Cricetulus griseus: one gene and its partners. The protein of the gene in region 5 purifies or fractionates together with the protein of the main gene of each other region. This does not show direct contact. Links are inferred from orthologs where the notes say so. Each region holds a gene or a part of one and is shown on either strand. Other genes may lie near its edges. The genes, in order: Inppl1, Arhgef5, Garem2, Map4k3, Grb2, Pik3ap1 and Anxa2.

Region 1 (2,817 bases), on a different chromosome or scaffold from region 5:
GGAGGCACCCAGCCTGCCCCAAGAGACACCCCTATCCTACTGGACCCGACAGTCCCTCCCTATCCCGGCCGCCTGCCGAAAAGCGCCCCGTTGTCCCCACTGCCCAGTGTCTGATCCCTAGATGTGGATCCCTTACATTGTTAAACAAGCCAGGGCCACTCTTGTCCTCACCCACCGGCACCCAGCGGAGAGGAGTATTCTCACCAGGATCCCCTCCAGGGCGGCCAGAAGCCCTTTCTAGCTTGGCTTTCTTAGAAACCGGGGATCAAATTACACCTGTCTCTAACAGTGCCCAATCATAGAGGGTCGTAAGAAGCAGAACTGACAGATCCGTGCTTTTCCGCCAACTGGGCCAGCCACCCCTTAAAATCAGCAACCTGAGGGGTCCCATTACCAATTTCCCATCCCTAGCCAGTCTGGTGCAGAGGGCAGACACACACCACACAGTAGAGGGGAAGGGTTGTCGGGAACGTAACAAAGTGGCTTTCCTTTCCCCTTACTTTCTTTGAAAAAACTTGTAATTTATTAAGGTGATTTTGCTCAATCCAAATAAAACTTAATTTATTGAAGACATCAAGCCAGCAACCTTTCCGAGTGCCCAAGATGGGATAAACTGTTGGCAAAAACCCTGTCTTCCAGTGCGGTGACAGGTGACAACCAGCGAGGCTCCCTCCTTCTCTACAGCAGACTGCCACGCATTCCTTGGGCAAGGGCTCTATGAACCAGAGGTACTGCCAGAACTAGGTAAATCTGCATTTTATGGCCGAGGTCCTGCCCCACCCCAATAAAATTAATGTGCCCTCCCTCTCCAAAACCCACACAGCAAAACTTAAATAAACCCAGCCCAGTTCTGGGCTCTTCCTTCATTTCCGGAGGACGTCCCCAGAGTAGGAGTTGCAAGGAGGAACTCGTGTGTTTCAGGTCCGAGGGAGGGAAGTGGAAACATTGGTGTTAGTGGGGACCAGGATGTACCCAACTATACCCCACATACAACCCTGAGGCTGGGAGATGTCCACACCAGAGTAACCAGTGTGCTTCATTTTACCACAGGCTACTGAACTCCCGACCCTGGACCTAAAAGCTAGGTGGGGAGCTCTTTGTCCTAATTAGAACATCCCAAACTAGGCAGTAGGGAACACTGATCCCCAATAAATAGACAAAAATGCACTGCCACGCCCCTCGGAACTTTTCAGCCCATGGTTGCACATGCCCTTCCCAAAGGGGAAAGAGCATTGCTTTTGTAGCTCGGCAGCCATCTCTTATCACTTGCTAAGCTGCAGGGTGTCCAGAAGAAGGCGCTTGTGAGCAGGATCCTGCACCCCAGCTTCCTCCAGGTCTTCCTCAGTGATGTCACTGCAGGAATTAAGAGAAGCTGAGAGATGGGCTAAGAGGTTCTAGGGCCCACAATCCCACCCTTGAGGCCAGACACCCCTCCCTGTCCACCTCCAACCCCGCCCCCACCTGAGAAACTCCAGGTCGTCCCAGCCATTGTGCACCAGGCCCTCCTCATAGCGTTCCAAGCCGATGGCCCGCAGCCAGGCACCCATGCCCGCCTCTCCCAGCCCGCTGGCCCGCCCGCCCTGCGGGCACGGAGCCTAAGGGAATACGGCATGTTAGGGGGAGAACTAAGGGTGGCTCCTCACAGAAACACATGCAAACAGCCACATTCTACCCATGCTCTGAGGGGAAATAAGGCAAGGAATAAGCTGATCCTTGTGTCTCCAAAAGGCCCATTACCCAGCTACAAGCAAAGGGGGCTGTGGACACCAGTGAGTTCTGGGTGACAGAATGAAGGAACACCTGCCATCAGGCCCTGGTCTACACACCTCCTCTGCCAAGTCTTCTTGGATGCTTTCTCTGATGCGGGGTGGTGGGAAGCTGAGGGGTCGGCCATAGTCGGAAGGCCCTCGGGGAGGCTGCAATTCCAAGGGGCTGGGGAGGAGTGCCGAGCGTCCAGGCCCAGGAGCGTAATCTACCTCGCTGAGTGTTTTGGCCATCTGCAGTACTGAGCAAGATCGGTCATCCCCACTTGCAACCTCCCCCAAAAAAGTACTGGCAGGTGAGGTGCCTGGGGGTAGTGGTGGCCTGGGATGGGCCTTGGGAGGTGGTGGACCACGGGCCTCACCCCCGCTTCGGCCCCTGACCACTGGCATTGATAAAGGATCCAGGCTAGGGGGCAGGAAGATGGCTGAGTCCGGCAGTGGTGGAGGTGGGAAATCTGGAGGAGGCAGTGTGCCCCCAGAGTCCTCATCCGATGAGCTTCCCTCTCCTGCACGAGGAGTCCGGTGGCGCCCAAGCTGGGGAGCAGGCACTGTGATGGCCACTTTGTTCTTGGTGGCAGGTGGGACAGGGGCCCTGGCAAATGGGGGTGGCTCCAGGGGCAGCAGCTGATGTGGAACCCCTTCCAGGACATAGTAGGCAGGGTTATTGAAGCTGTTCTTGGGTGCAGGGGCTGCCACTCCTTCCAGCTCAGCTGTCCCCTCTGACTTCAGCCTATTTTGAGAGCAGGAAAACCATCAGAACCCAAAGTAAAAGCGGTGGGTACAGGGGAGGGAGCTGGGGAAGAAGGGACCAAGGTCCTAGTCCTTGAATTGCACATGACCTTGGGTAAGTGGACTCACTCTGAGCCTTTGATTTCATAACCTCTGAAACTGGAGGGGGAGTGTTGAAGGTAAAACCCTAACTCCTTTTCCTCATATGCTCACATTCTCAGCTCTTTTATAACTGAAACCTGAGCTCAAATGGGTGATAAAAGCCTCTCATAAGGGTGACCAAAGTGATCAGAAAAGCCTCCAGAAGCTGTTGAGAGTCCTTCTG
Region 2 (3,500 bases), on a different chromosome or scaffold from region 5:
AGGTCCGTCCAGCACAGAGAGTGGAGACTGGCCAGTCTTGGCCAGTGGGTCTTGGTTTGGCTTGATCCCCTGAATGTATAACTCCCCCCTGGATACTCCTGCTCCTCCCCTTGGATTTCGGGGGTAATGGCGGTGGTTCAGAGGGAGGGACTGGAGGTAGAGGCCTGTATATCCTTGGTATACTAGAGGGGGAGATGGGAGAATTGTGCTCAGGCTCATAGGGAGTTGGGGGTAATGGTTTGTTGTATCTCGGCCTTGAGATGGAAGCCTGAGTGTGGTGGGGACTTTCTGGGGTGGATGGCAGAGGGCGGTGCTGTCTTGCCACAACAGACTCAGGAACTAGGGGAAATGGGCCTCTAGGAGATCCATGTACCCCCGAACTCAGGGCCAATGGAGGAGGATGACTATGTCGCTTCAGTGTGGGGGCTCCTGCATGAAGATGGCCATCTCTCTCTACTGAGGAGCTATAGCTATGTCTCTTTTCTGGGGGAGGAGGGGGCAAAGCTTCAGGTGTCCTCGTATCCATGGAGACAGTGGGTGGAGAAGAAACATTCACCGGAGAACCTACAGCAAAGGCTGAGTGCTGTGGGGAGCCCCACAGCTGACCAGCGCAAGAATCGCTCGGCCTGTCTGGATTTGAAGGGAATTCTTCAGAGTCCTGTCTCACACCAAGGAAAGCAGCAGAGGATTCTGAAAAGACGATGCCGTCCCTACTTCTTCTGTTTCTCCTCGGGATCAAAGAGCCATAGATGGCGGGTTTGGGGGGCCTCTGCGGTAACTCCAAATGAGTGAAAGAAAAAGACATTCCCACAGAGTCTGGAGTCTGTTCTGTCCTGTGAAAGCCTGGGAACGAGTTACTTCTTAGATGTTGGGTGGCTCCAGTATAGCTGGTGAGAGGGTTGTGAGGGTTGCCCTTGTCAAAGGTACCACATGGGTCCTTGGTAGTTTTTGCAGGTACTGGAGGAGTCTCAAATGGCCCACAATGAGGCGGTGTGTCAGTTGAGAGAGAGGCTGCTAGGGTGTCCTTCCCAGGAAGGACAACTGGAGAGCTAACAGGTGACAAGGTGGCAGTGATCGGTAAGACTTCAGCAGGACTGGAAGGAGCTGAATTGGGTGTCCTTGGAGGAGTCATAGCTATATTAGAAGAGACAACATCAGTCCCCTGGATGGACACTGTCTCCTTCCTCACCCCGGCTTCTTGCCGGCTGTTGTGAGTCCTATCATCCAAGGGTTCTTCAGTAGCAAAAGAGTCAGGTGGAGAAATGGGTTGGAGAGACCACTCTATTGGCTCTGGTGCAGGAGTCAGAACTTGGGGGATCAGTTCCTGGGGAACGGGCTCCCTCTGAACCCCAGGAATATCAGCCACAGGGCAAGAGACGCCTGGAAACAATGTACCTGACGACAGAACCTCAGGAGCTACGAGAACCACCGGAGGACAATGCTTGTCCTGTTCTGTTCTCCCTTCCTCTGCTGCCTGCCCACCCTCACCTGAGGCTACGACCTCCTCCTGGTCCTCTGCTGGCACTGCTTTTCCTGTGCCACCATGATTTTCCTGCTTTCCACTCACACCCTCTGATTTCTCCACTAACCTTTGATTCTCTGCAGACTGAGCAGCCCTCCGCCTGCCTTCCACCGCCCTGCATCCCCTGTCCTGTCCCTCCTCTTCTGGATCCCTCCCGCGCCTGTCCTCTTGACCCCACTCCCTGGAATCCAGACCCTCCAACTCCCCACTGAGCTCACTGCTCTCCCTTTGTCCTCCAAGCATTACATGGTTTTGGACCTGTTCCTCTTTCTGTTCTTCCTCACTGCCATTAACCCCCTCTTCCTCCTCTTCCTGCTCCCCAGGAAGCCCATCAGTGCAAATGTTTTCCCTCAGAGTTCCTTCCTCCTCAACTTCCACTTCCTGTCCTTCCTGCTCCTCCAGTCCCTGGGCCTCCTGGGGTTGGAGGAGTCCTTGCCCTTGCTTTTCTTGTGTGTCTTCCAGCTGCAGCTGTTTCCCCTGCTTGAGCTGGTCACTCCCATGGCCCTCAGTCTCACCAGGGTGCTTTGTGCAGGGAGGCCAAAATCCTCTAGGGAGAGAGGGGCCTGGAGACCTTTCTTCTTCTTTTGCTTTGCTAATTGCCAATGCCAAAGACATGAGTTCTGGCTGCAATTCTATCTCCACTCTGCTGTCCACGTTGCTGGAAATGTCTAGCCATTCTTCCTGAACAGCACAGGCCAGGAGCTCAGGGACAGCTATTGTTCTTGACAGTCTGTCTTTAAGGTTCTGGGATACTGGTTCCCGCTGATCTACAGTGTCACAGGCCTCGGCCACAAGGATTTCCTGGTTGGCCTCCACATCTGAAGAAACTTCCTTTAAGAAAAACCCCATGCTATCAGGTGTGTGGTCACTCATGTCCCTTAACTCTTTCGGATGGTTCATCAAGGGTCTGTGTCCATCTGCCCACTTGTAGGATGGGTCTTGGCCTTCTTGAGCTTCGGGCTCCAAGGCAGGGATCTGACTGCTCCTCATGATAGCTTCAGGGATCGCCTGAACTTCTTCTACAGCAGAAATGGGTGCAGATGCTCCATGGTCAGGCTCTCCAGCCTCCATCAGGGCTGAATCCTAAAGAAGAATACAAAACAAAGTTTCCAGTGCCTCATCTGTGTTTGTGTACAGGGGAGAGATCACAAAGAAGACGAATGGGAAACTTCTTCAGTTCAATTCAGGATCACTCTTCAGGACAATGAAATGGGCACCAGCCCTTGTATGTGTTGCTTAACTTTATTTTTAAATTAAACCAAGCTACAATTCCTGTTTTTCATTTTTACATTTATTTTTATGTATACATAATCTGTATGTACACGCAGTGCCCACAGAGTGCAGAAGAGGGCAACTGATCACATGGAACTAGGGTTATAGGTGCTTGTGAGCCTTTAATATGGGTGCTAGGAACTGAACCCTGGTCTTCTGAAAGAGCAGCAAGTGTTCTTAACTGTTAACTCATCTCTATAGTTCCCAAGAGACTTAGAGGGGCTGGGGAGATGGTTCAGTTGCTAAGTGTAATAAAAATTTATCTAGAGAGAATGAGAAGGTGGCTCAGTTGGCACACACACACAAGGACCCAACACACACAAAAAAATACCAGGAGTAGTAATATGTGACTGTAATATGAAAGTGCAGGGGTGGCCAGGGACAGTCTAGTCAATCCATGAGTGCCAGTTCAGTGAGCACTTGTCTCAAAATACAAGGCGGAGAGCCTTCATGGAAGATGTCTGGCCTCTACAACAGAACACCACACACAGACACACACACACACAACACACACACACACACACACACACACACACACACACACACACGTTACCTAGTGACCCTTAAGTGTAGGACAATCAGCCGTGACCAAGACAAAGCTCCTGGTGGATCTTGAAGTCTCGTGGGAAAAACTGATTACAAACGATTCAATTAGCATTGAAGACCTTTGTCAAAGAGTTCCAGGAACTGCCAGTGGTCATTGCCC
Region 3 (4,240 bases), about 110 Mb from region 5:
AATCTCAATGCATTCCCGGGGCTAAAGAGTGCTTTCAAAGGACTGATCCTGCAGAAGACTCCCTGGTGGCTACAAGTGGTGACTAGGTCCAGGTGGGTAATGGCACCAGTCAGCTGGGCACAGGAAGTGATTGATGGGCTTTGTTCCTTTGCAGTGTGATTTCACAAGTTTATGATCCCAGATGCTTGAGGCAAAAGGTTTGAAAGTTCAAGGGCTGGCTGTGCTAGACAGGAAGTTCAAGGCCAGTCCAAGCAACTTACTGAGCCTTATCTGAAGACCAAAAGTGAAAGACAGGCTGGGGATGTATCTCAGTGCTAGAGCACTTGTTTGGCATGTGCCAGGTCCTGGGTATAAAAAAATAAAAGGAAAAAGCTGGGGGCTGGTGTCTGCACTTGACACTGCGGCTCAAGGCTGTGATGCCCATTGCATTGAGGGAGGTTAAGGCAGGAAAGTGAGCTAACTTAGACCACACACACACACACACACACACACACACACACACACACACACACACACACACTCCCTTGTCTCAAAGAAACAAAACAAAAACAAATAAAGTGTCATCTGCTGCCATTTCCTTTGGGGCTCAAGGCCAAATGTCAAATGCATCAGATGTAAGGGTTTGTGTATACACACGTGGAAGTTTCTTGAGGGCACAGAGTCCATGCATGGAGCCTTTTAAGGACCAGCTTAGGGGCCAAGGTCCACTTCTTGGAGGGCACTCAGCTACGACCCGCCTGCACCTGCAGAGGGCGCCGCAGGCACACTGAGGTGAAGAGAGCCTCAGGCTGGGTGCGAGGTCATGGCCAGCACAGCTTCTGGGAAGGCTTGTCTTCCTAAGGGAACTCCTGAGCTGCAGCAGGAAGGGATGAACGTTGACGGGGAAAGAAAGAGAAGATGAAAAAACGAGTTCAGCCACTGGCCCAGTCGTTCAGGTGCCTGAGCCTGTTTCCCATCTGTAGTGTGGGCTGGGATGGGGATGGATTTGGAAAGTGCTCTTACAAGGATTCGGAGACAACTTAGATCCCAAGTGTCACCTTCCTTTCTGCTCCCCCTAGTCTAAGCATCCCCGCCGCTCGCTAGCCTCCAGCTTGGAGTAGCCGATGTGGGTAACGCAGCAGAGATGGATACGGACTCCACGAAGCAGTGGCACAAGGGGACACCTAGGACACCGGGCCAGGACCCCATGGACCTGGTTCTTCTCCCCATCCCGAGCGTGGGGTCGCCGGCGGTCACCTGGGCACTCCGGGGGTCGCGGGCCCGGCGGGCGGGGCGCGGGGCGGGGATGGGGGCGGGGGCCGGCGCCCCGTGGGAGGAGGCCGGCCACGTGACTCCCGCAGCCCGGCCGGGCTGCTAGGAGGGGAGCTCTGCTAAGGCCCCGGGTGGTGGCGGCGGGCGCGGAGCCCGAGCCGCGCGGGACTGGCCGTCGGGGCCCCGAGACGGCGGCCCCCGGAGAGCTCCGATGCCATGGAGAAGCTGGCAGCCGGGCTGGCCGGACTGCGCTGGAGCATGGGCGCTTTCCCGCTCGACCTCATCGTCAGCCGCTGCCGCCTGCCCACGCTCGCCTGCCTCGGGCCAGGTACCGGGTGTCCCGGGAGGGGACAGGGGTGGCGTGCAAGAGCGCCGACAGTCGGGGCCCCGCTCGCCTGGGGCTGGCGGGACCGCAGTGTGCACTTGGGCCCCTGCCCTCCCAGTCCCCGGCGATCCGAGCCTCGCCTGCCTTCTGGGGCGGCTCCTGAGACAACCGGAGCCCCCGAGCCCGGGGACCGCTTTCTGAGCCCCATCTGAGCACAGTGATAGAAACTGGCCGCACGGCTGGGACAAAGTTTTCAGTCCCCTCTGGAGCCAAGAGCGTAGCTGAGCCTCTGGGCCGCTCCGTCGGTGCACCCCGCTTTCCTGGCGCTTGTCCACCACTGCCCCGGCCGGCCGCACCCCCTTGATCCCTTTGTCTTCAGCCTCTCACCTTCGTCCTCCTGCGTCCCTTGGAACTCTTTCCCCTACCATCACCCGCTACTCCCTTTTTGGGGACATTTCTTGAACCGTCCTTTGGCATCCTAAGGTCCTCTGGTTAAGGGCGGGCTACCCTCAGGAGAGGCCTGAGTGAGCCGGCCCACTAGGCGTCCCCCCTCTCCCCCCCAGCACAGGACCCTCGGCCCTCCCCCACCTCTGGTTCTATTTCTCCAGCAGTCCCCCGGTGTTCCGATGATGGGACCGGGACCTTATTTGGGAGAGCCTGAGGGTTGCACCGAGCGAGAGGACTGTAGTGTTGGGGGAAAGGGGAGCTGTTTGGCTGGGGGAGGGGCGGGAGCCGGGGCTGGCAGCCAGGCCGGGGGGTTTTGTGTGTGAGAAGAATAGAGGTTTGGCCCGCGTTGGCACACTCGCTTCCCTGAATGCTAATGGGACTCCTGTGCTGTCTTCTTCTTGGACTGGCAGCCTCTCCTCTGACCGGCAACAGCAAGAACTGGGTACAGTGGGCACCAGGCAGGCTGGAACACGCTCTGTGGGACATCGGTGTCCGGGTCCATTAGCAGGAATACCTGGCAGTCGAACTCTTGTCGGACTTCACTTACCGCTCAGCGTGTGATCCCAAGACTGTGTGTGCAGCTGGGCTGTGTCTGCTTGTGAATAGGAAATTCTGCCCTAGGTTCTTCCTGCTCACTTCCCACGCATCTCTTTGACACCCCTTTCTTTGAGTTCTTTTCTGAGCCCTTGTGTATAGGCTAGGCCTTCTCTGCGCTGACACCTGTGCCTCTGCCACCGACCACCTGGCTTTTGGGGGAGGGCCAGACAAAGATCGTGGAGTGGACATTCATTCATTGAATGAATGAATGAATGAAGGAATGAGCAATGGTGCCTGTGACCGCGTGGTTATGACTGTGGTCACCGTTACAGTATGAATGTATACTTGAAATGTTGTGTCCTTGAGGTCCCCTCGTGGGTGTGCATTCAGGAATCGTTCCTTGATACTGAGTTGTGCTGTTTAGGTGACAGGCATTTGAACTGTTGGTGATGGTGACCCCTGTATACCTGTGTGGCTTTGGCCTGTGTCCCTATGGAAGAGTGGGTGGGGCCTACCTATTAGGTTAGGCCTAAGAAAGAGCTTGTAGAGCTGGAGAGGGCAGACCTTCATCTCTTCCAGGAGCTAGAGAGCTGAGGAGGAAGTCTCAGACAAACCTCCCCTGGCATGCTCTGGCACACACATACTCACACACAGAGTGGACGATCCTCCCTTGAAGGCCCCGGATACGGCACCCATTCATACACACCATATGGGCATGCTTTTTGAACCCCTGCACTGTTAGAGTAAACCGTTTCCCGTGTGTGGGGAGTAGGGGGCTGGGAAGGAGACATCCCCACCCCCACTGTGCCCACCAGCTGCATCCAGGATACGCCCCATCAGTCTCCTGGAAGCTGGGCTGCTAGTCCTGCTCCCCTGGAAACCGTTGCTGGGGATGGAGCCTCTTGGGCCCAGACCCCTCCCAACTCCAGCACCTCTGCCCTAGTGCTGCTTTCTGAAGCCTAGTCTCCCTCCTCCCCCTATTGCGTTTCCTAAATCCCCTGCATGTCTTACCCCAACTTTAAGGAATGGGTTCTCAAGGTGAGATTTGGGTGTCCAGGGTTCACTCCCCCGGTCCTGTGACCATGAGACTGAGTGGCAGTGGGTGGAGAGAGAGTGTCTCTCTGAATGATCCAGGAGTGGGCTCCTGTAAGCCTTGCCACTCTGAGCTAGCTGACAGTGACTTTGTGAGCTCTCCTAGACAGGACCCACAGGAACAGATTCCTCCTCGGTCCTCCCTTGCCTAGCCTAGGTCCTGACTAGGTGGGATCCTGCTGGTGTGAATTTGCCTGGTTCAAGAACAAAGTCTCTCTTACTCCACCCCTGCCTGATGATGTCCCCCTCCCCCACATCCCTACAAGCGCTCAGCTCAGTGCTTCAAACTTGCTTCCTCCCCACCTCCTGAGGCCTGAACATGCCTGGAGGGCAGGAGCTGGCTGGCCCAGACTCATCCACTGGGAGTCCCCAGCCCCGGCTTGGGCTGGGACAGCAGACACTGCAGTGGGATGATGAATGAGACGCTGTGGATGCTATAGTTGCGGAGGCCCCACAGGGAGTCAGAGCTCTGAGGTTCAGGATGGACTCACACAGCCCAGAGGCCACAGCTGACAGCTGACTGCCCACCCCCCAGTGTTGCTGAGCAGTGCAGGGATCACGGGGAGCAATTCCTGGGCAGGGGCTTGA
Region 4 (3,500 bases), on a different chromosome or scaffold from region 5:
CTATTCCCAGCAAATATACACATGGCAGCTCATGTCTGTCCAGGGGTTCTTCTGGCCTCCTTAGGAACCAGGCAGGGAAGTGGTACACAGAGAGACATGCAGGCAAAACACCCAGAACACATAAGAAAGTAATTTTCTTTAATTCATGTGTATATAAATCTCAATGCCTAGGAAGGGAATCTCCATTACCTGGAGTACAGATGTCTCCTATAATTGGTATTACCGTACTCAGTATCTTTAGTGAAACATTAAATGATGTAAAGCTCAGATACATATGTAAGTTAATAAATATTTCTGAAGTGTTTGTGAGGATGTTTGAAAATAATTCCTATATAATTTATTTTTTCAAATATTAAACTTATATTGCCAGATTGCTGAACTGGCACTTCCTTTATGGTAATTTACCCTAGTTACCTTAGCAAATATTAGGTCTGAGTAGTCCTTTTATAGAAATTTGATTATAGTTTGAAATACATGTTGTACTATAGCAAAATAAAAGACATGCAACATTAGTTTTGTGGTAAATAAACCAGATTGAACTCTCAGACTTAAAAAACATAACCTTTAAATGTCTTATCTTTAATTTTTAAACAACCTATTGATGGAGAAAGCCCCTTTTACTTTTTTCTCTTTAAAAATACTGTAGAGCCAAGTGTGGTGGTACACACCTGTAATCCCAGCACTTCGGAGGTGGAGGCAGGAAGATCAGGAGTTCGAGACCAATCTCAGCTACATAGTGAGTTCAAGGCCACCCTCGATTACATAAGACCCTTTCCCCAAAACGACAGCAACACCACACACACACACACACACACACACACACACACACACACACACACACATACACACACCCTGAGGAACTTTTATACTGAAGTTGGGAATAAAAGGTGTCAAATGCATTCAGAACATGAAGCCCAAGGTGTTCAATAGCACACTGAACTCGAAACAGATGTCTTTACAGAGACTTGTGGAAGGAAGATGTATATAATATAGCCCTTTGCAATATTTTAAGGTTTGTCTTTGGTTCTCCCAAAGTCTGTTACATGCTCCATTATTCACTGTCTCTACTGTGAGACAGCTGGGACACACCTGCTTTTTAATTTCGTCTTTATTTAACAGGAAAAGATTGCTGGATGAGAAATATTTTGCTGCCAGTCAGTTTCAATAATGTCATAGTTCTTTGAAGTGTTTTAATTTTAAATATACCCTAATTGCTTAATAAAAGACATCATTTCTTAACAAAAGACTTTAAAATAGCTCCCTTCCAAGAAACTTAACATGGTTTTATCTGAAGGATTTCCATAAATACAGAAAATATCTCTCAGAGTTTATGAGGTAAAGATAGAGGGGATGATTGTGTTTTTAACTTCTATTGCCTGTCTGTCACACACTAGTTTCTCAGGAAATCTTGAGAGTATTGTTTGGGCATCAGTGTCTCCTAAAGATAATCTGAGGCCTGGGAGATGGTTTGGTGGGTGCAGTGCTTTCGTGCAAGCAAGAAGAACTGAGTTTGGATCCCTGGTACCATGTGTTGTGTATCTGAAACTTAGTGCTAGGGATCAGAGTCAGGAGGACCCCAGGAGCTTGTTGGCCGTCCAGTTTAGCTGAAACAGCAAGTTCCAGGTTCAATGAGAGGCCCTGTCTAAAAAAAAGAATAGAATTGTAGAAAGCACCCAGTGTTGATCTCTAGCCTACATACAGAGCACAGGCAAGCACAAAACACACGCAACGGTCTACACACCCCACAGACACGTTCAGAGCTCTTGACAAAAGCTTAGTTTAGCTCATTTATACTTAAAAAGTAATTTTGTTAACTCTCCAATTCTTTTATTTAATACACACTGGTCACATGAGCTAGGCAATTGCATCTGATGATGTTCAAAGCCCATGGCAGATCTTCTGAGTTTAAAATCAGAAATTGAATCCCAGCACTCGGGAGGCAGAGGCAGGCAGATCTCTGTGAGTTTGAGGCCCGCCTGGTCTCCAGAGCAAGTGCCAGGATAGGCTCCAAAGCTAGATAGAGAAACCCTGTCTTGAAAAACAAAAAACAAAAAGCAAATCAGAAATTGTCCAGAACCATAATTTACAAGATGAGACTCTTTGCTTCAAATGTAAATATAAATGGCACCCTTATCGGTTGAACTGACAGGAGCCAGCTCTGCTGTGCCCATTGTCCACATCACCATCAGAACACAGGTGTCCCAGTGCAACCATTGTGCATGACCTGTAAGCGATGTCCATCCATTTAAAATGCAGCAGTCCACAACTCTTTTTTTGTTTAAGACAAACATTGTAAATTTTGTAGTTTTCTGTAGCCTTATCTGACTGTATTTGTGTTGTAGATACCCCACAGACAAACGTCACTCATGTAACCCAGCTGGAGAGAGACACCATCCTCGTGTGCTTGGATTGTAAGTTTCCATTTGCATCTTCTCGGGTAACATTCCTCTGTTCATACTATTGAGTGACTTCTATTTTTCTCTAGGTTGTATAAAAATAGTGAATCTCCAAGGAAGATTGAAATCTAGCAGGAAATTATCATCAGAACTCACCTTTGATTTCCAGATAGAATCCATAGGTGAGTCGTTGTTTTGTATTTCTTTGCATTGTGAACTGTTTAAAATGATCTGTCTAATAGTTAGTGACGTTGCAAATATATATTGTTAGGGCCTTTTTCATTTGGATATGATAGTATGAGGTCACTATTAGTCTCCCCTCTTCTACATTCTCTAAGTGTGTGTACTAGTCATATACGCTGTAAATGTTCCCTTCGTCACAGATGTGGCATTCACAAAAGAAAGTTAAACAGTATTTCTTAAAACATGTTTATGAGTTTACATCTCCTCCAGAATCCTATGGATTCCCTATAAGTGCTTTAAAATTTGGCATTTGGTATGTCCTGTTGTGAATATACCATTGTTGCCTGGTACTCAGAGTTCCTTCAGCTGAGAGCAGTGATGCATCCATGTATTCACAGAACTCAAGAGGCTGAAATAGGAAGATTTAGAGGTCATGGCCAGCCAGGACTATGTAGGAAGTTCCAGTCTAGCCCCAGCAACCCAGCAAGACCCTGTCTCAAAAAAAGAAACAAAACAAAACAAAATTTACTTCTTGCCTTATTTATGTCTGTGTCCTCTGTCCCACTATTTCTGCTTTTAATGCTGTGCCTCAGAAAATATTGCGCAGGTTTTCAGAAACATACACAAGAATTACTGTTGTGCCGTCATCTATAATAAGGAAAAGTAGAAATAATTGCTCATCAAAACAAATGGATGACAGTGGAGACGTCAACATAAAGTTACCATGACAATGTGGAACTAGTTAATATAAACATGTCTGAGAATGATAAATACAAAGTTGATTACAGTGCTGTCCAAGAGAGGAGGGCCAGCCAGATGAAATTTGGGTTGGCTTTAGGGGATCTAGGCGTGTTTGTCTTTGTTTGAAGCAAAGGCAAACATGGTAGAATATTTAGATTTGATAATTGGGAAGAAATGCAT
Region 5 (4,120 bases):
CTGGTGAATCCGGTCAGTTTCAGGGCCTTCCTGCAGCCATTTTGAATTATTTGCTTCATACTAAAATGTTTCAATCTCAGAGGAAACATTTACACTACACTACACTGCTGGAGTTCCACCACAGCCTAATTAAAAAAGTAAAGAATACCCCTACCAAGTATGGTAGCATAAACCTAAAATTCTAGCCCTGGGGGAAGGCTGAAGCCGGATGATACAAAGTTTGAAGCAGGGCTATGCCTATTTGCATACTGGTGCCCACCTTTGATCCCAGCACTTGAGAAGCAAAGGCAGGAGGATCTCTGTGAGTTTGAGGTAAGCCTGGTCTACATAGAAAGTGCCAGGACAGCCAGGGCTACACAGAGAGTCCTTGCCTTAAAGTAAGTAAATGAGTAAATAAATAAAAGGTTTGAGTCCAGTGTAGACTATATATAAATCAAGAACGTGTCTCAAAAAAGTAATTGGATAAAAAAAATTTCTAGTTAACTTATTGCCAGGTAATGTTTATGCATACAAATTTTAAGAATCACAGCTAAAACCTGAGTGGAATCTTAAGCAAATTTTAAAATTTGCATTCCAGAAAATGTACTATGCCTGAACAAAATAAAAATGATACATATTCAACTTGGCACAACTCTGGGGAAAACCAACTTTGGCAAACACTATAAGAGCAAATCTCAATAATCACTGGTAAAGCTCCTCAGTATGTCCTAACTTCTGTGGGGGGAGCATGGTGGCTCTGTTCTGTGGTCACCTCTCCTAAGTCCAACACTCCATAATGCTACATAACAAGCGCTGCTACACACTTGACATAATGGAAATCACTGAAGAACCCCTCAGTACCACCAATAAATAGCACTTAAAACCTAACAACTGACCTGGAAAGATGGGCTAAAGAGATAACAGCTCAAGCTGCTAAGAGCACAGGCTGTTCTTCCAGAGGACCAGGGTTCAATTCCCAGTACCCACATGGCAGCTCACAACTCTCTGTAACTCCAGTTCCAGGGTATTTATCCTCTTTTAGCCTCTGAGGGCACCAGGCATGCACATGGGGCACCTACATACATGCAGGCAAAATACACTCACCCACACAAAAATAAAATAAATCATTTTTAAAAGCCTGGTAAGGACTAAATTAGTAGTTAGAATGGGTAGGCTTTAATTCACAAATTTCTAAAGCTCTGTCCCCTTATTTTTTCAAGCTATCTTAATTCATAAAATCCACAGCTGACTTTCGTTTGACAATTAGCTCTTAGCCATACTAAAAACTCAAAAAGGAGTCTTTTAGCCCCCAAATTTCTCAATCTTCCTTAACAGTGAAAAGACACAGGAAAGAGAAAGAAAATACTAGGTGTAAGGCCATGATCTGTGAAGAAAACACTAAAATACAAATGATGCAAGAAAATCGGCAAAACCCCCTTGTGATCTGGTGGCTCTATGGACTACTTTGGAATGAATTAAGTCCTTTGAGTCTCCCAGTTCCCAGGAGAGAACTTAGTCCCCGTCCCGCCACCCCCCCCCCCATGAGGAGCTAGCAGCCCTTCTGGCTGAGGAATACAGTGGTCGTTTAAAAGTAAAGGAATGAAAACAGGAGGAAAGGTATCTTCCCGAAAAAAAGAAAAAGGCATCTTGGGACGACGGGGAAAATTAACAGTGCCCAAAAGGGCAGAAACTTCGAAAATTATAGCGGAGGAACAGCAAGAAGGGGAAGTAGATTATTTTTAAAGGGAGGGTGGAGGGGCCAATGACTAGCGCTACAAATGGAGTGGAAAGGAGACTGAGAAGGCAAAAACCGGAGAGCAAAGTGAAGAGGGGTGCGGAAGTCAAAATAAAGCCCATTTCTCTAGCCTCTTATGAGTGTCAATAGAACCAGAAGATGGACCTTGAGCGCGCTTGGGCTCCTCTGCAAACGGCACTGCTATTGCATTTGAAGGCAGCTTGAAAAAAAAAGAGAAAAAAAAAAAAAAAAACCACTTTCCAAACAAACTCTGGCTCGCAGGAGCGCTGCAAACGGGCATGAACCAGCGGGGCTCTCTCGCTGGAATCCTTGCTCCCGCATTCCCATCATCTGCTGCCGCTGCTGCTTCCCCCTCCCGACAAGGATTTTCCTAGTAGTTCTCAAACAGACGCGCCCAACGCTGTGACAAAGAGCGGTGGCCGGGTGCGGGCAGCGATGGTCCTCTCTCGCGGCGGGCTCCCGCACACTGTGCGGCCGCGAGGTGCCCAGAGGTGGTGACGTGGTTGCTCCGCGCGCGGGTCAAAGGCGCATCCATCACCGCGCTAGCCCGGCACCGGCACCGACTCCCCGCCCGCCGGGCTCCGGCAGCCTGGCCCCGGCAGCACCGCGCCTGCCGGCTGCTGCGGGCTCCGGGCTGCCCCACGCCGAGGCGATCGGCCGCCGCACGAGCGGGAGGAAGACCGGCACCAGGAAGGAAGCGCCCCAAAAGGGGAAACGAGGAGCCGGCGGCGCGGCCACCGCGCTCGGGTCCGAGCCATCCCCGGCCCGCCAGCGGCCCTCGCGGGCAGCCCCGAGCAGATCGGCGCCCGGGCAGCCCGCCCGCCGCGGCGCCGGGACGACGGAGCTCCCGCTCTCCGCCCGCCTGCCCGCCCGCCGCCCGCCGCCCGCCGCCCGCCTCGCACTCACCGTGGCGCAGCCGTCCGCTCCGTGGCCCAGCCCGGCCCGCCCTGCGCTGCCGCTGCCGCCCGCCAAACCCCGCTGCTGCCTCCCCGATGGCGGGCTCCGCGCTGCCCGGCCGCCGTCCCGCGTCAGCCTCGCTCGCTCGCTCGCTCGCTGGCTCGACCGCCGCCCGCCGCCGCCGCCGCCCGATCGCTGAAGCAGCAGCAGCAGCAGCCTGGCTTCCGCTCCTAGGCAGGGTCCCGCGAGAACTTCCCCACGCGGCCCCGCCCCGCCGCGCCCCGCCCCCGCGAGACTTCCCCCGGCGGAAAGGCCCAGAGCGCAGGCGCTCCTCCGGCAGGTAGCCCAGCGGGCGCCTGCGCGCATGCGCCAGCCCACCCCGCAGCAGGTGGCACGGGCTTGGCTCCGCCCCCGGGTCGCTGTAACCCTCTGTGTGCCGGAGCCGGTGACTTAGAGCTCTGCCCTGGAGGAAGAGAGAGCACTTCCCACACTCGGATCACGTCCCTTTCCCGTTCCGCCAAAGCAAGGCGGAGAGGGAGAAGGGAAGGGAGACCTCAGGATGGCTCGATCCAATAGAGGACCAGGCCTAGATTGTCTGGGAGTCTGGTTCGCTCGATGAATTGTTTGGTTCCTCTGTTCGTTGACACAGACCTAGTGTAGGCGAGCCCTGTGCTGGGTGAAGAAGGTAAAACGACGAGCAGAGATCCTGGCTTTCAAGCGATTCAGTCGAGAGTGCCAGCAGAAAAGTAAACAAGTCATGTCTTGGGCTGGAGAGACAGCTCAGAGCTTAAAAGTACTTGCTGCTCCTCCAAAGGACCTGCACCCACATCAGATGGCTAACGCTATCTGCCGGCTAACTCCAGCTCTACGGTATTCAGTGCCTCTGGCCTCTGCTGACACCAGCATTCATCTGCACACACACACACACACACCTATAACATTTATACATAATTAAAAATAATTCAAATAGCCCGGCGTGGCGGCCTATGCCTTTAATCCCAACACTCAGGAGGCAGAGACAGGCGAACCTTAGTGAGTTAGAGGCCAGACTGGTCTACAAAGTGAGTTCCAAGACAGCCAGACCTGTTACACAGAAAAGCCCTGTCTTGAAAAAACCAATAACAAAATAATAACAATAATATTATGGCCGGGCAGTGGTAGCTCACGCCTTTAATCCCAGCACTCAGGACGCAAAGGCAGGCCAGCCTGGTCTACAAAGCTACACAGAGAAACCCTGTTATGAAAAACCAAAATAATAATAAAATAATAATAATAATTTTCTAAGCATTTAAATAATGACTTAGTACTGTTACAGCAGTTTGGGGAAATGCTTCAGAAGCCAAAAAGATGGAGAAAGGCTCACTCTGTTCCTCTGCCCACTATATAAAAGACTTCACAAAGTAGGTGATGTGATTATTGGAGGCTGAGTAGGAGTTCCACAGGAGAGGAGCCAGGGTAAGAGCATAGCCGGCAAAAGGAAAGGCAGGC
Region 6 (4,146 bases), on a different chromosome or scaffold from region 5:
TCCTATGTGTCTGTGCACACTGTGTGCATTCGTGAAACCACGGCATATATGTGGAGGCCCAGAAACAATTTGCAGGATTCGGTTCTCCCTCTCCCCAGGGACTCCCATGTGGGTCCCAGGGGACCAACCCAAGTCATCAGGCTTGGTGACAAGCACCCTTACTAGCTGAGCCATGGTGCTGGCCCTGTGATCCTATAAATCCAGGAATAATAGGAAGATCTATAGATGAACCTGGAAAGAGGGGGCAGGACAAGGTCTGAGAGCTTTCCTCGGGCTCTTGGGGGACCAAGGCCTGGAAGTGGGGACTCCAGTTCTCACCAGCTGCACACTTGGTGCCCTCGGGGAAATCCTAGTCTCTTTTCTCGATCTCTCTGGTAAATAAGGGAAATGATTCCAGCACAAGCTGGTGGCATTTCACCTCATTACTCAAGGTTCCTTCAAGGCCAAAGAGCCAAGATTCTCCACGATGTCAAGCAAAGGAGCATACGCATCTTTCAGGAAACAAGACTGACATTCACCCTCCAGTGGCAGGGAATTTGAGAAGACCAAAAGATTAGGCTACAACTGAGCAGCTGAGTGGACTTTAAGCACATTATGCAGTGTGAAGGAAGTCAGTCACTAAAACCACAGACTGCACGATCCCATTCATGAGCAAGTCCAGGACAGGGCAATCATAGGCTGAGGCAGATCAGTGCACTAGAAAGGAAGCAACAAAAGGAAGACCTCTCTTTGAGGTGGTGACATTCCTCTCAAAGTCACGTATTTGTGAAGACACTAAAAACCACTGGGTGCATTCCTTCAGGCATGCCCAATCAGTAGCCCATAAGCTGAATGTGTCCCAGGATAGCTATGAATGTGACTCAACTCTTTTGGAGATGATGTCATGTCACAAAGTCAAAAGGTTAGACACATAGCATTTTGTATAAACATATTATAACATTATTTTAAAAATAAGGACACCATACAGGAGGGGGCCTGGATGACTCTCCAGCCTATGGCAAACTAGTGAAGAGCTTGGCTTTCCCCCAACTTGACCTGCTCTCAGGAGTATTTATAGCAATAGACCTCAGAGACCCCAGAGGGACCCTGTCTCGCTCACACAACCTGGCATGGTGTCTCACCACAGAGAACACTGACAGCAAGAGGTTTGGATAGCTTTATTCACCACTCCACCTAGCATGCCAGGTTTGGTTGCTGGGCTAATTCTCATCTGAACCTGAGTCCACCCACCTAGCTTAGCCTCTGCAGCTACACCCCTTGGAGCCAGCCTTCTAGACAAACAGGTTGCTTGGCCTCCTTTGCTCAAAGGCTTCCCACTTTGCTGTTCACCTGTTCCAGCCAGGAAAGGAGACAGAAGAATGGCCAGTTTATTTTCTCCTCTGGCCAACCCCTCCATCCACCCAGCCATGATAGCTGTTCCCTGTATCTTGAGAACAAGGCTCTTCCCTGGAGCCCTCTCCTGCCCAGGGCCCTCTACCTCCCCTCCTTTGGGTCTTGACTAATTTCCCTTGTTCTGAGACTTCTTCACCTAGCCATTCTGTTTAAAATTCTAACTCAGACCCCTCACTCCTGTCCATTTTCCCATCACACATACCCATGCCAAGTACTTTCTTCATTAAATCAGTTGTTGCCTTCCCTGTCCTCGAACCACCCTCCCACTGCCTTCAATAATGAGCCTGTACCATCAGAGCCCTTTGTACCCTTGTTCCTAAGTACCATGGCCTCAGGCTAGACCTTAGCAGATCTAGAGAAGGTTGGTTCTTCAATCTAGCATCTGCTCCCTTCCTTTCCAAGGGCTGACTTTCCCCCAGCCCACTACAGTTCTTTCTTCCTGTTTTCATGTATTGTCTCTAAAAACATCAGATGTGGGCTGGGTAAACACAAGTAAACCAAACCGAAAACATGGCAACTCTCTCTTCTCACCTAGCAATTCTCCATTTACTGTTTTCTTTCACACCACCAAAACCCGGTGGTGAACAGAGACCAGGCCTGCCTTGTCATCACCAAGACCAAAACACATCTTTTGTCCACTAAGGTGTACAGACAGGGCTCATCAATTGTCTTTCATCATTATCATTATGTGGCTTGTCCTAGACCTCAGCGAGCTGAGGACTTGCCAAGTGTACACGCCCATGATCCAGAAAGAAACCCAAAGCCAGCCAGAAGAAACGCTGTCACCTTCTGATGGATAGATTTGTCCACCAATTTCCAATTCTCCTTGGACCTGAACTTCCACAGAGAACACAGTGAGAGTAACACTAACGAAGCAGCAGTCTCGGGTGTCAGCAAAATTCCAGAAAAAAAGAAAGATACAAACGCGGTGGAGGAAAGGGACTTCCGAAGCTGACCCAGGACCACTTCTGATCTCCCAGGAACACCTAGGACTTCCTGAGCGCCCCCTATTGGTCGGAGAAGACCCTAAGAGAAAAGCACCTCCTTTCACCTGTCTCAATACTCAGAAGTTACAGAGGAGAAAGAGATCTTAGGACTACTTGGGCAGAACTAGAGAGAGAGAAGTAGACTTCGAAACTGGGATGGGGTAAGCCTCAGGAAGGAGCTGGAGAGAATCGCTCACAGGCCGGCCAGGCGAAACGAGAGAAAGTTGGGAGGGGAAGTTTGCGACAGAGACCTGAGAAAAGACCGCAAAGAATACAAGATTCCAGCACTAACGACTAAAAAAAGTGAGAAAAAAAGTCCCTCAGGCTGTGAGGGTGGCGCCAGAGAAACTCGGGGACCAGCGGCGGGGGCGCGAGCCGGGAGCCCAGGAGCTCCGCGCCTGCTACCCACCTGAGGCTGCCATGCCGTCGCGGGAGCAGCTCGCATCCCCGGCCAGCCTGGAGCACGGTACCCGGTGCCCGCAGCCGCAGTGGGCGATGTCGCTGGCACGGGACCGGAGTGGAACCCAGCTGCGCTCAGGACAGCGGCGACTCTGGCGCTTCCTCCCGCGGGGCAGCGGGGACTCACACGGGGGCGTGTCCACAGGGTCCGCCCCGCCTGCCTGCGGGGCTCCGCTGGGCACCTGCACGCGCGGCGGTTGGGGAAGGGAAGTGAGAAGCCCACAGGGCCAGCCACCAGCTCCCGGCGCTGACCCCTGCTCGTGCCACGTGTGTCCCGTGCTTCAGGAAAGCAGGCAGCCACCTCGGTGGCCGCAAGGAGCAGCCTGAGATGCGGGAACTCGGGGGAGGGAGAGCAGAGAGGACAGGGCTGTCTGGTCTGGGGGACTTGAGGTGGGGATGCGTAGCACAGCTGTCCCAACCACCTTGTCCCTTGGGGCTTGTCCTTCAGACGCTGCCCCCCCCCCCGCCAAGTAAAAGGAAGGCCTGCGGAAGGGGAAGGAGGAGCACCTGGCTCTTGGGGTCTCGGCGTTGCCCTTGGGTGCCCTCCTGTGACCCTTCTGCATTTTCTTGGATCTGGGCCTCTGAGGGCACATGGGTGTTAACTATAATCTGTGATAGATGGATGTTATCACCGACAAGGGCCTTCCACACACTACTGCTCCACTTCCATTATCAGAGCTCTTTCCCTGGCTTTCTTCTATCTCCCTCCGCTTTAAAAAGAAAAAAAAGTTTTTATTTATTTGTTTCGTGTGCTGTGTGGGAGTGAGTATGCATGCACATGCTGCAGATCACATGGAGAGATCAGAAGACAACTTGCAGGCGTCTGTTCTCTCCTTCCATCGTGGAAACAAACTTTGGCTCAACGCCAGGCAGCAAGCACCTTTACCCTGCGCCATCTCACCAGGCCCCTCCCTCTTCCACTTTCAAGGACCCCAAGTGAATGTACTGAGCTGCCTGGATCCTTCAGGAAAAGCTGTCTAACAGCTCCTTGGTGGCAGCCTCAATATCACCTACAACTTAAGTTCTTTGTCCTATAATGTAGCAAATTAACAAATCTAGAGATTGGGGTCTGGGCATCTTTGGACACAGTTTCTCTGCCTAACACAGGCACACACAAGGATTCCTAAAGCCAAAGTGAGCATGCTGCCTGCCATTCTCCCTGTTTAGGGTATCTTTGCCCTCCACCCCTCTTCTGATGTACAGCGATGCCGTTCCACACTATTAGAGTTCTTTGAAATTATAGAAGCATTTCTGTATTGTCAGAATGGCTTTAATTGATGCTTCCTGTATCCACCTCTAAGTCCTTTGG
Region 7 (3,933 bases), on a different chromosome or scaffold from region 5:
TTAAATCCAGTTTATTTAGACACCTCTTTGGGATAAGCTCAGCTCCATGTCTAGGTCTGTGAAACAACTGTATAGAAGCTGGGAATGGAGACCCAGCTGGTTTTGTGAGTAAATATTAGTTTAGGAAAATACAAAATGTCAAATCAAATTGCTATCTCTACAATTAACACACGTATCTTTTCTTTTTTTTTCTTTCCCTAAAAGATTCAAAATCTGAAAGGCAAGGGCTGTGTTTGTATGTACAAGCACACAGTGAACGAATATGCATGCATGTGTGTCTAGTCTACTACTGTATCCTCAGTACCATAACTGTGATTGGGACACAGTGGGTACGTAAAAGACAGTTTGTAAGACAAATGGATGCTGAAAGCAGCCCACAGTGCCTGGGACTCCTTTTGTAACACACCCACTCTCCCCAGATGAAACAGGTCTGGCACCCAGCACAAGCCAAGAATTAGAGCCAAAGTTCCCATCAACCCTCACACACATTAATGCAGGCCCAAAGGTGCAGAGAGAGATGAGAGTTCTCAAAAATCAATAGCAATTTAGGAGAGTGCCTGTCTTGCCAGGAAAACTACTTAAATCGGAACTTAGTCAGGAAGCCAGTGGCCAAGACTGCATGTGTAATGCCAATCAATAGGGTATTTTAATAACTCAAAGACACAGGATGTGAAACATTGAGAGGCACCAGTCCAAACCCAAGCTCTCAGTCAAAGCCTTAAGTGCTGCCTGGCTAGTTAGCAAAACTTCCTGAACTTCTCTCTCTACCACACCAAACAGGAAACCCTCAACAGAAAGGTGCGCACCTAGGAGGTTGCCCCTGCTGCAGCAGAGGCGACGGGCTCTTCTAAAGAAACCCCGGGATCTAAGGTGAGCAGTGGACTCAGTGGAAGAGGACGGGGCTCTGCCCTGATCTCATCTGCCATCTTCAGGTTCCCTGACTCAGACCCACAGGCTTTGGCTGGGCGCAGCACACACTGAAATGAAGAGGAAGTGGGTGTGGAGGAGGGGCCGCTCAAGTGTCCAAAGCCAACGTAACACATCAAGGGACACAGACCGCAAGAAGGTGGCAGGGAAGCAGGAAAAAGAAACCAGAGAAGGGGGCAAAGACACAAGTTTTCAATTAACACGATTTAATCAAATCTATATTTAAAACTAAACGGAGAAAACCCTGAAAACCGCATCAGTGATTTATTATTCCTACCCATGGACCACCCCTCGCCCTCCCATCTTGTATCCTGCTCCTTGCCATTAGGCAGCACTCAGATACAGTGCAAATTAATTAATTGGGGTGGGGGAGTGTGCTAGCATGGGTTTCCAAACTCCTTCTATAGTGTTCCTGGGGGAGAGCCGGGAAGTGGCTTCCCAGTCCAAGTTGCAGACTCATCTGATAATACCCCTGTATGTTAAAGGCTGAGGACCTTGGATTCCAAGAGTTTATGGTTGTTGTTAAGGGCTGGGACTGAATATGGCAAATTACTACACAAATGAATAACTTTCTGGTTATTCTGGTTCTGGGAATAAAAGCCTGGATCTTGTGTGTCTTAGTGGGGTACTCTACCAATGAGCTAGATCAGCTCTCCGTTTTGTTTGTTTGTTTTTTGAGACGGGGGTCAGGGGGAGGATGGTGTCTCACTTTGTAGCTCAGGCTGGATTCAAACTCAGGATCTTGCTGCCTCGGTCTTCCGAGTTTTGAGATTACCGCTATGTCTCAAGTAACAGCTTTTTGTTTTCTTTTATATTTGTACAACGCTGTGTTTTCAGTGTGCTTTACTTATCTATTTTTGAATGAACTTGTTTTCGGAAATCTTCAATAACTCAGTGTGGGTGGAGCTAAGAACAAGGGTTCGGAAACCACTTTTATAGATAAAGAAACTTCTGGAGCCACAGCCCTCCATGCCAGCATTGGAACCTGGGGCTCAGGAGCCACGCCCTTTTCTATAGACTCTGTCAATTGACTCATGGTGGCTTCAGTGCAGTCAAGGCAACTTTCTCTACTGAACCACCCGGGGATACTTCTTTCTGCACACGTTCCAGGGCGGCAAACTCCTCAGAAAGAATAGGGTCTGAGGTCGCTGTCCTACCAAACAATCTAGAGTTCGCGACAAAGACTGAGCTGAGATTGTTTTGTGTAAAGGAGGGCACCAAGAACTCAAGACTTGAAGTTCTGGTGCCGCCGCCCCCGCCCTCGCCCGGTTCCCCGCGCCGACTTCACAAATTTACGTTTGTCAGTAGCAAAGAAATACACCTGAAATTGCAGGAGTTATGGTTCAGAGTGAGAGGACGACGCAGTTCGGAAGGCGGAGGGGAAAAGTCCACAGATGTCTCACTGTTGGGCTGCAGGCTCCCCAGCGGCCACACCCAGTCCCCCGTTGGCACCTAGCACCTCTGGAATGCCGAGCCCCTCGGTTCCCCGCCCCACACAGGGTCTCCCTGCTTCTCAGGGGACCTCAAGGGGAAGCACAGTCTCCTCCACCTCTGCCCTGCACCCCCCCCAGGCGTGGTATGCAAAGAGACGTGTCACGACCCCACACGGGACACTTTGCAACTCTGTGGCAGGACGCGTAGATCGCCCAAGGGGATGGATCCTTCTTGGTGCCTCCCAGGGTCCCCGTCGTCGGAGCCTGCCCGCTCCCGGTTCAACACCGAAACCCCGAGGCCATAGCGGATGACCGGGCCGCGCCCCACTTACCTGGGCCGGGCGCCTAGCGCTGAAAGCCTCCCCAGAAGCCGAGCGGCCCGGCTGGGCTGGGTGGGGCTTTTATACCCGCCCCATCCTCCCTGCGTAAAGCCGCCACGCCTCCCCTCCCCTCCCCGGCCTGTGCCCACCCTGCTCCGGGTGACTCACCCTCTCTGGAACGCCGCCCAGTCCCGGCCCTGCCCTACGTGACAGCCTCACCACCTTCCCAGGCCCATCAAGCCTCCACCTCCCTACCCCCCTTACTCCTAGGGTATTGGGCCCAGTGGTCAGCCTGGCCCTCGGCTGTTAAGATTTCAGCAGACTGGCTTGCCCAATCCACTTCTTCTTTTGTTTATAGGCTTCTAGATGTCGAGGTAATGGAGGGTAGAATTGTTTCAAGACACACATACTTGGATTCCCCTGAGTTAGGCTGTTGGCACCCAGCTCTCCATGACCGTCTGCAAACATATTAGTTTAACCTCTGGTCACCAGATGGAGGAGCATGGGGTGGGCGGTTTATTTGAAACGACCTAGAGAGCCTAATGGGCCTAGGAAACTGCATGAAGGCCTCCAAGCAGTCAGGGAGACTCAGAGGTAAGGCACCCCCCCCCCACCCAGGTGCCTCCTTCCCCCAGACAGCAGCACTTCAGAGCACTCTACAAGACCTCCTACCGTCTTTCCTAATTGTAGATTATTAGGGTTTTGTTTTTCTCATTCCCTTGACCAATTGCTTCTCTGGGTTTTATTTTATTTTTTCATTTTTTCCTAGCCTGATTTTCAGGGGCAGTCACACGGACAATGCAGGAGTGAACTATGTCTGTGTGTGACTGCCCATACTGCATCAAACCTCAGGCTAACAGAAGAATCCAGAACACCTTTCACACTGGGTCTTTAAGCTGCACATTTCACCTCTCTCTCTTTTCTCCTGGTCCTAATGGTTCTTTATCATCTCTCCCATCTATTTGTGTGAGCCTGTAGTTCACATGTGGAAGCCAACCAGATGTCAGCCTCAGGGACGCTGTTCCTCAGGAGTTATTTGAGACAAGGTGCCTGGAGCTCACAAATTAGGTTTAGACTGGCTGGTTAGTAACCATTTTACCTGCCTGAATTGAGGATGGAACTCAGGTTCCTTTGCTTTGGCCACAAGCTCTTTACCAGCTGAGCTATCTTCTCAGCCCTGCTCCCAACTGACTACAACATCTGTTTATACTTTGTACTCCTCTCTCAGTTCATTCCGAGGATAGCAGGATAGC

The links.
Region 1: the proteins of Grb2 (region 5) and Inppl1 purify together in Homo sapiens (affinity purification with mass spectrometry; 3 studies listed by BioGRID and IntAct, with this or other methods). This does not show direct contact. The link is inferred for Cricetulus griseus from reciprocal best matches to the Homo sapiens genes GRB2 and INPPL1.
Region 2: the proteins of Grb2 (region 5) and Arhgef5 purify together in Homo sapiens (affinity purification with mass spectrometry; 4 studies listed by BioGRID and IntAct, with this or other methods). This does not show direct contact. The link is inferred for Cricetulus griseus from reciprocal best matches to the Homo sapiens genes GRB2 and ARHGEF5.
Region 3: the proteins of Grb2 (region 5) and Garem2 purify together in Homo sapiens (co-immunoprecipitation; 4 studies listed by BioGRID and IntAct, counting the BioPlex papers as one, with this or other methods). This does not show direct contact. The link is inferred for Cricetulus griseus from reciprocal best matches to the Homo sapiens genes GRB2 and GAREM2.
Region 4: the proteins of Grb2 (region 5) and Map4k3 purify together in Homo sapiens (affinity purification with mass spectrometry; 4 studies listed by BioGRID and IntAct, with this or other methods). This does not show direct contact. The link is inferred for Cricetulus griseus from reciprocal best matches to the Homo sapiens genes GRB2 and MAP4K3.
Region 6: the proteins of Grb2 (region 5) and Pik3ap1 purify together in Homo sapiens (co-immunoprecipitation; 4 studies listed by BioGRID and IntAct, counting the BioPlex papers as one, with this or other methods). This does not show direct contact. The link is inferred for Cricetulus griseus from reciprocal best matches to the Homo sapiens genes GRB2 and PIK3AP1.
Region 7: the proteins of Grb2 (region 5) and Anxa2 purify together in Homo sapiens (affinity purification with western blotting; 5 studies listed by BioGRID and IntAct, with this or other methods). This does not show direct contact. The link is inferred for Cricetulus griseus from reciprocal best matches to the Homo sapiens genes GRB2 and ANXA2.

The regions. Positions count from the first base shown.
Region 1 is NC_048596.1:97,560,444-97,563,260, reverse strand, and holds the end of Inppl1 (phosphatidylinositol 3,4,5-trisphosphate 5-phosphatase 2), read right to left. Parts: intron 2,494-2,817; coding exon 1,827-2,493; intron 1,596-1,826; coding exon 1,462-1,595; intron 1,354-1,461; coding exon 1,263-1,353; 3' UTR 501-1,262; downstream 1-500. UniProt on the Homo sapiens protein: Phosphatidylinositol (PtdIns) phosphatase that specifically hydrolyzes the 5-phosphate of phosphatidylinositol-3,4,5-trisphosphate (PtdIns(3,4,5)P3) to produce PtdIns(3,4)P2, thereby negatively regulating the PI3K (phosphoinositide 3-kinase) pathways.
Region 2 is NW_023276806.1:226,147,841-226,151,340, forward strand, and holds part of Arhgef5 (rho guanine nucleotide exchange factor 5), read right to left. Parts: intron 2,606-3,500; 5' UTR 2,594-2,605; coding exon 1-2,593. UniProt on the Homo sapiens protein: Guanine nucleotide exchange factor which activates Rho GTPases. Strongly activates RHOA. Also strongly activates RHOB, weakly activates RHOC and RHOG and shows no effect on RHOD, RHOV, RHOQ or RAC1.
Region 3 is NC_048600.1:14,173,114-14,177,353, reverse strand, and holds the start of Garem2 (GRB2-associated and regulator of MAPK protein 2), read left to right. Parts: upstream 1-1,440; 5' UTR 1,441-1,467; coding exon 1,468-1,579; intron 1,580-4,240. UniProt on the Homo sapiens protein: Probable adapter protein that may provide a link between cell surface epidermal growth factor receptor and the MAPK/ERK signaling pathway.
Region 4 is NC_048598.1:82,523,315-82,526,814, reverse strand, and holds part of Map4k3 (mitogen-activated protein kinase kinase kinase kinase 3), read left to right. Parts: intron 1-646; coding exon 647-736; intron 737-2,342; coding exon 2,343-2,411; intron 2,412-2,485; coding exon 2,486-2,578; intron 2,579-3,500. UniProt on the Homo sapiens protein: Serine/threonine kinase that plays a role in the response to environmental stress. Appears to act upstream of the JUN N-terminal pathway.
Region 5 is NC_048600.1:128,301,516-128,305,635, forward strand, and holds the start of Grb2 (growth factor receptor-bound protein 2), read right to left. Parts: upstream 2,801-4,120; 5' UTR 2,642-2,800; intron 1-2,641. UniProt on the Homo sapiens protein: Non-enzymatic adapter protein that plays a pivotal role in precisely regulated signaling cascades from cell surface receptors to cellular responses, including signaling transduction and gene expression.
Region 6 is NC_048596.1:20,171,752-20,175,897, reverse strand, and holds the start of Pik3ap1 (phosphoinositide 3-kinase adapter protein 1), read right to left. Parts: upstream 2,801-4,146; coding exon 2,788-2,800; intron 1-2,787. UniProt on the Homo sapiens protein: Signaling adapter that contributes to B-cell development by linking B-cell receptor (BCR) signaling to the phosphoinositide 3-kinase (PI3K)-Akt signaling pathway.
Region 7 is NC_048597.1:181,009,017-181,012,949, reverse strand, and holds the start of Anxa2 (annexin A2), read right to left. Parts: upstream 2,801-3,933; 5' UTR 2,693-2,800; intron 1-2,692. UniProt on the Homo sapiens protein: Calcium-regulated membrane-binding protein whose affinity for calcium is greatly enhanced by anionic phospholipids. It binds two calcium ions with high affinity. May be involved in heat-stress response.